2 linked regions of the Cricetulus griseus genome follow. Each later gene encodes a partner of the first gene's protein in a complex. Links are inferred from orthologs where the notes say so. Each region holds a gene or a part of one and is shown on either strand. Other genes may lie near its edges. The genes, in order: Oprl1 and Pnoc.

Region 1 (3,098 bases):
TTGACTACTACAACATGTTCACCAGCACTTTTACTTTGACTGCCATGAGTGTAGACCGCTATGTGGCCATCTGCCACCCTATCCGTGCCCTTGATGTTCGGACATCCAGCAAAGCCCAGGCTATTAATGTGGCCATATGGGCTCTGGCTTCAGTGGTTGGTGTTCCTGTTGCCATCATGGGCTCCGCACAAGTGGAGGATGAAGGTCAGTGGGTGGTCCTCCTCTCCGACCAGTTCCCCATGGTTCTTGGTGGCCCTTCTAACCCCGTTTCTCTCCTGCAGAGATCGAATGCCTGGTGGAGATCCCTGCCCCTCAGGACTATTGGGGCCCTGTGTTTGCCATCTGCATCTTCCTTTTTTCCTTCATCATTCCTGTGCTGATCATCTCTGTCTGCTACAGCCTCATGATTCGACGGCTCCGTGGTGTCCGTCTGCTTTCAGGCTCCCGAGAGAAGGACCGGAACCTGCGGCGTATCACACGGCTGGTGCTGGTGGTGGTGGCTGTGTTTGTGGTCTGCTGGACACCTGTGCAAGTCTTTGTGCTGGTCCAAGGACTGGGTGTTCAGCCAGGTAGTGAGACCGCAGTAGCCACCCTGCGCTTTTGCACAGCCCTGGGCTATGTCAACAGCTGTCTCAACCCCATTCTCTATGCTTTCCTGGATGAGAACTTTAAGGCCTGCTTTAGAAAGTTCTGCTGTGCTTCAGCCTTGCACCGGGAGATGCAGGTTTCTGACCGAGTGCGCAGCATTGCCAAGGATGTGGGCCTTGCTTGCAAGACCTCTGAGACAGTACCACGGCCGGCATGACTAGGCGTGGACCTGCCCATGGTGCCTGTCAGCCCACAGAGTCCATCTACACCCAACACAGAACTCACACAGGTCACTGCTCTCTAGGTTGACCTTGAGCATCTGGGTCTTTGAATGGCCTTTCTTTTGTCTCAGGATGCTTAATCCTAGAGGGAGACCTTATAACACCATGGGACAGGTCAAAGCATCAAAGTGGCCTCTACGGCCTATGTCAGATTAGGCTCCCCACTCTGGTGTAAGACCAGAGAGGATCAAAGGACACTGCATGGAAACATCCATAACACAGTGGACATGCCTGGTGAGCCCACATAGGTATACATACTTCACTCAACTCTTCTCTGGCCTCTCCCTGCTGCCCTGGCTCTAGGTGGGCTCAACCTGAGGTATTGCAGTGATCATCTAGTCACATGTTGTATGCTGTTGCCCTCAGCCTTTCAGTATTTCCATAGGACTGCTGAAAATACTTGGTGTTGCCTGGTGCTGTAGGCAGCATTTTTTTTTTTTTTTAAATTGAGACTGGCCCTAAGCTTGGCTTGGAACATTTTCTGGTTCTGACTCCACTAATGCTGCCAGATTACCTGAGGTGGGTGGACATCAGTGGGTTCTAGGATGGTTGTTTTCCAAAGATTCTCTTCATGCTGTACATGATGTCTGTGAAGGGGACTTCACTTGGCACTGCCACTGCCTGTTCTATCTGACTGTGGCTCCAACATGGGCCACCTTCTCAGCAAGAGGCCAATGGAACAATATCCAGAACTTCTTTGTGGCTCTTTCCCCTCCAAAACCACTGTGAACTCTTATATCACAGACTTCTTGGCAAGCCCTGCTCCTAGGTGTGTGGGAGGTAATCAGGAGAACGCTGCTGTGTGACCTCTGTAGACTACTCACAACATGGAGGCGACATGTACTGGTCTTGGCTGCTTAGTAAGGGTGGAGCAGGAGAATATGCTCTGTTCTCATTCCCCACAGCCTCCCTCAGCTTTCTGGCAGTCTCTTTGACTTGACATGGGAGGTCAGTAGCTGTACTGCTAGAAGCATACTTATAGCCTGGGAAGGGTAGCGGCAGGATGTGTTCTGTTCTGTACCTACATCGACTACCTGCTTCTTTTACAGGCTTTAGGGCATATTTAAGTAAGGCCTGAGCTTGCTGTCAAATTGGAAGATGGCATCAAATGAAGAGTTGCTATAAGAGCTGAAGCCTAAAATGGCTCATTTGAGCCAATCTGCAAGGACCATCAGGTTTTGGGGACACTGGAAGAAGAATCTGTACCTTGGAGATCTATTTGATGGTTCAGAAAATAAGAGGCTTTGTAGATGCTCTTTCTGTGGATCAGCTACCAAAATACTAGCAACCTTTGTCTTCCACTGAGACCTTGGTTAGGTGGCTTCATACAATACAGAGCCTGGGCTAGTTACTGTCTCAGAGAGACCTGGCCTTAATAATCTTAATGGGGAGACCAGGGCTCTTTCTGTGACATTTGGGTGGGAACAATTAACTATAGTGTTTTCTTGCCAAGGTTAAAAAGTTTGTGAATTTGTACATCTTCATGTATTTAAGCACACAAGTGTCATTTCCATGCATGTAGCCAGGCCTGAGCCTGCCTCTGGAGTAATGAAGGAGTGCCATAATAAACACCTTGTGACCGTTGCTCTCCATAGAATAAGTATTGCTGACTCTAGCTACATAGGAGTAACTTTCTGGGAGTTCACATGCATTGGGAGGGGCCGTAGAACTGAGTTGATGGGTTCTTTAACCTGTTGTCCACTTGGCAGAGGACAAGGAGCCTTTAAGGAGCCTCTTGACTTATGGGAGGGAAACTAGATCCTAGGTTGCAGAAGCTGCTGCCTTTCCTTCTCCCAAAACAATGACCACCCTTTTCCCACCCTCAGGGCAGATGTCTTTCTTCCTGGCCTACAGGTTTTTCTTTGCCTCAATTTGACCAGGATCGTATGTGCCAAAGTCCTTGCTTCCAGTATAGGGCTGGTGGGTCAATGTTGGTTTTATACAAGTTTTAATGACAGACACTGTCAGCTTGGTCTTTTTTAGTCTAGCAGTTTATAAGCACTAGACATGAATTTCTCACAGGGTTGAAAGCTGCATTCCATGAAGGTGTGGTGGGTTGGACTTTATGAGATTGTGTTCTGACTGTATCCTTACTTTATAGAAAGATATTTCAGAGTTGCACACATCCCATTAACAGTAATAATGAGGTGGTAGGGCTCCAACCTCATGACCTGCAGCAGAATCATCTCTTAACACCATCACAGCAGAGGATAGGACTTTAAAATGTGA
Region 2 (4,288 bases), on another chromosome or scaffold:
GTCATCACACATGAACCAGAGGAGTAATTTACTAATAGTCTACATGGTATGGGGTGTGTGTGTGTGGGGGGGGGTGGGTGGGTGTGGGTGTGGGTGTGGGTGTGGGTGTGCTTGCATACTGTGTGGGGGTGTGCTGATTGTGTGTATGGAGACCCAAGGTTGACTTCAGATATGTTCCTTAATTATTAACTACACTACATATGAAGAAGCATGTTCTCTCACTTAGACCTGGAGTCCACTGATTCAACCACTTACTTGTCCACCTTGTTCTGGGGACTGCCTATCTCCCACTGCACTGGTATTGCAGGTGGTCCCCCAACACCACTCAGCATTTGCTGAGTAGGATCTGATCACCAGTCCTCACTTGCATAGCAAGCACTTTACCCACCGAGCCATTTCCCCTACCTCCACCTACTTGTTTTTAGTCTGTTCAAGCCGTCTACCAAGATTTACCTTCATAGATTTCAACATATGGACTCTGAGAAGACACAATCACTCAAACCATAGCAGGAGCTCAGTTCTGATGTGGGTGACAGACAGGGGACACATGGAAGCTCCCTGGGAGAGAGAATTGAGGGACAGCATTCATAGTCTGGCCAGAAAAGAAGCCAGGAGGCATTTCAGTCACTCATCCCCCTGCCTGCCTCCTGAGAAATGGGATGAGAAACTATGCCACCACACTCAGCTCCTCATCTGTTCCTTAGAAACCTTGGCCCTGACAGGTCACATCTCATCTTCCTAACAGGCCTATGGTAAGGCGCCTGCCATGCTTTCTCTTTTATGGCTATGGAAACTGAGGTTTGAAGAGGTTGACTTAAAGGCACTCATTGGTCAGGAAGCAATGCCTCTGGCCTCCAGGAAAGATGTTTCCCATCCCACAGCTCTTTCTGGAACGGCAGAGTCCAGCTAAGTGGCAGGAATCACAAGTGCTCTCCAGGGATCTGCACTACACACAGCCTATGAATGAAAGCAGTCCTGGATGGCAGGACCAGGCCACCAGTACTGTCTACAGTCTATTCCTTCCCAGGTGAATCTAAGACTTGAGGAATCGCCTTGCTGAGGAATGATGCTTGCCTCCCTGGGTCGTGATGCCCAGAACTGACGAACCCTCTCCCCAGACTATACTAATTGGCACGTGTCCTCTATGTGTTTCAGCTGGTTGCTCCCCACTCTGCACCATGAAAATCCTGCTTAGTGATGTTCTGCTGCTCAGCCTGCTCTCCAGTGTGTTCAGCAGCTGTCCCAGGGACTGTCTCACCTGCCAGGAGAAGCTCCGCCAAGACCCAGACAGCTTCAACTTGAAGGTATGTCCAGAAGGCCAAGGGACTACCCTCTTTCTTGCCATCTCCTCCTCCTGACTCCAAAGCAAACACTAAATGAAACATTCAAGTCTCTCCTAGAGGTCATAGGACTTGTGCAGTGTCATGTGACCAAGAGGAAACAGGTGAAGCCAAGCTGCATCTTCCTACTATGACCCCTGTGGTCGTCCTACTTTACCACCAGACCCCTGTGGTCCTCCTTCTCTACCACCAGACCCCTGTGGTCCTCCTACTTTACCATCAGATCCCTGTGGTCCTCCCTCTCTACCATATATCTGTTCATGATGCCCTTGTCCCAGTGTTACCCAAAATACATGTAATATATGTATACATATGTGTCCATATATATTCTTCTTCCAACCCATGAACTAATGACTTTACTCTTTGCTGTGACAAAAATCCCTGAATCTTAAGGAAGGGTTTGTTTTGGCTGAAGTTTGAGAGCACAGTCTACCAAGGAGGAGGCAGCATGGAGGTGAGAACTTGAGGCAGCTGCTCACATTGTGTCCACAGTTGATAAGCACAGAGAGATGATACACTGTTCAGATCACGTCTTCTTTATTCAGTCTTGGACTCCAGCTCTTGGGCTGGTGCTCCCCACACTCAGGGTGGGGTTCTCTCTTGAAACACCCTCATCAGCTCTGAGAGTGTCTCCTCAACCCTAACCCCCTCATGTTGACAATGAAGGTCAACTATTATACTCCAGGAACCAGAGAGAATCTTACTTTCTGTGGTGTCACAGGGTTAATATTCTCATGTTATGACACATTATTTCAAGTGATTTCTTTCTGTGAATATATAACTTGTTCTCCATTCCCCATCTGCTGAGCATGTATATTGTCATCCATTTTTTATATTGCAAATGATTCTACAATGAGCATCCAAAATGCTCTCTTGTGTTTTACATTCCCAACTTGAAGTACAAAACATTAAATTATTATTCATTAAATGAACTGCTTTCTCACTCCTTTAATTGCAGCTTAGATAGCTATTCTCTCCTATGAAATCCAGTATAATTCAATTATTTTTTTCCTTTGAAGTCAATAAAGTTGATTTCAAGGCACCGTGCTTCAAACCCCTCCACCTTTCAAAACAGGCAAGTAATTGCTCTTCCTTAAGGCAAATGTGCAGACATGAAATCCAGCGTAGCTGGTGCCCAACACACCTTGATATCTCTCAGCTCCAGGTAGAAATGTGGCCTCAGCCCCAACAGATAAATATTACACTCCTCCCGGCCTGGACACACCTGTCTTCTGGGTGGGAAGGCACAGTCATGCCATCAGGAAGGGCAGCCCAGACCACCCATCAAAGAGATATGTTTCTGATGCTTGTCCATCCTATTTTCTTCTAGGCATGTCAGCCTGAGGATATCTCATCCTTCAAGAAACATCTCTTGCATCTCTTGCCTGTCTTAAGGGTCCCTTCCCTCTCTAGACAGAAAGGCTCTTTCCAAGTCTTTTATATTGGCTCTGTTCCTCTGCCCAATCCCTAACAGGGATGCTGAGATGTGTGTTTCTTGACCCTCTTCCAAAATGCCACCATATACCCTGGCTTTTCTCTCCTAGGCTGCAGATAACTGTCAAAGAAACCCCTGACCTTCTCTATCTTGGGCTCAGGCCCAGGCCCAAGGCACTCTTTACAGCTCCCAGGGAACCCTGCTTTTCTTTGCTGTCCTGCCACCTTGCTCCTGCCTCTCCCTCCCCCTACCCACTAAATCCCACTTATACTTCAAGAGCAAAGTTAAGCTTCACATCATAACAAACACACTGGTCACTCACAAAGGCAAAGGTGAGGTTCAAGTGGAGTTTTGATCTGAAAATACATAGTAGAATCAGAGGTAACGCTAAGCAGCACACAGGAGAGGGAAATAGAGGCCTCTAGGAGACCCAAACAAAGACAGAAGTTCAGGAAGGTAAGACCAAGGTCAGGACCAGCTAGAAAGAGCTGGAGAGATGGCACAGTCAGAGTGATGGTCTCCACTAGACACTGTGGTACTTGGGGTAACAGGAGCAGCAGAGAGTTCCTGGTGCTCTGGGGTATAAGAATGAGTCCCCATGGGTTAGATTCCATGTTTAGCCCCACATGCTCAACCTATCCCAGGCCATTGCTGTAGATTGCACAGAGTTACGAATGGCCAATGTATGTAGGATGAAAATTAACACCACCAGGTTTGTTCTCTCCACAGTGGCCTTTATTTCAAATATGCACACACCCGCAGTTCCTTTAACCAATCTGGCCTTGAACTTCATGAGGAAATGAAATAAATTCTTCCTGGGTGACGCTCATGGGTTGTGCTTATTCTGGCTCTTGGTGCCATCTCTCTCTCTCTCTTTTACTCTCCTTCTCCCCCTCTCTTCTCTCTCTCTCTCTCTCTCTCTCTCTCTCTCTCTCTCTCTCTCTCTCTCTCTCTCTCTCTCTCTCCCCTCTCTCCTTTTTCTCTCTCTGGCTCAGGTATGAGTTCCTTTGCTGACCTATCTGGATATCCCAGCATGGGGCCCAGTATGTGGCCCATAACAGGGCTCACGCAGCCTGCCTCATGGAAATTGTATGATTCTCAGAACATGAGGCTCCTTGCTGGGCACATCCTGAGCAGTCACTGTAAAGTCTTACATTTGGTCTTTCTGGGGTGGTGAAGGATTGGAAGCCTGCTTCTATCTTTCCATTAGCATCTCAAATCTTTGGAGGCCAGAGAACACTCACTTTGCTTCCTAGAAACAAGTCAGAAAATGGATTGGTAAAAACCTCACAGCTGGAGATAGACGAGTTGCAGTGCCTGCTGTGTCCCGTCTCCCCCCCCCCCCCGCCCCCCAGGACCCTGTTGCTTGCTTGTTTTTCTGTTTCTAGTTCCTATTCCCTTTTAACCCATTTTAAGTAGAACAAAATGCCAAGGACATAAGCAATTATGTCTCATTTTCTGAAGCTGCAAATCTTGCCCATGCTTGCTCTGATGAAGGGAGTGATGGAGCAAG

The links.
Region 2: the proteins of Oprl1 (region 1) and Pnoc are in contact, whole or in part, in a cryo-EM structure (PDB 8F7X), measured with the Homo sapiens proteins. The link is inferred for Cricetulus griseus from reciprocal best matches to the Homo sapiens genes OPRL1 and PNOC. Residues at the interface, in NP_000904.1 of Homo sapiens: Gln107, Asp110, Gly114, Phe115, Trp116, Val126, Ile127, Asp130, Tyr131, Met134, Gln192, Glu194, Ile198, Glu199, Cys200, Leu201, Val202, Ile219, Val279, Gln280, Val283, Gln286, Gln291, Pro292, Ser293, Val298, Leu301, Arg302, Thr305, Tyr309; in NP_006219.1 of Homo sapiens: Phe130, Gly131, Gly132, Phe133, Thr134, Gly135, Ala136, Arg137, Lys138, Ser139, Ala140, Arg141, Lys142, Leu143.

Annotation. Positions count from the first base shown.
Region 1 is NC_048599.1:187,926-191,023, reverse strand, and holds the end of Oprl1 (nociceptin receptor), read left to right. Parts: coding exon 1-204; intron 205-281; coding exon 282-805; 3' UTR 806-2,461; downstream 2,462-3,098.
Region 2 is NW_023276807.1:220,422,371-220,426,658, reverse strand, and holds the start of Pnoc (prepronociceptin), read left to right. Parts: upstream 1-1,178; coding exon 1,179-1,304; intron 1,305-4,288.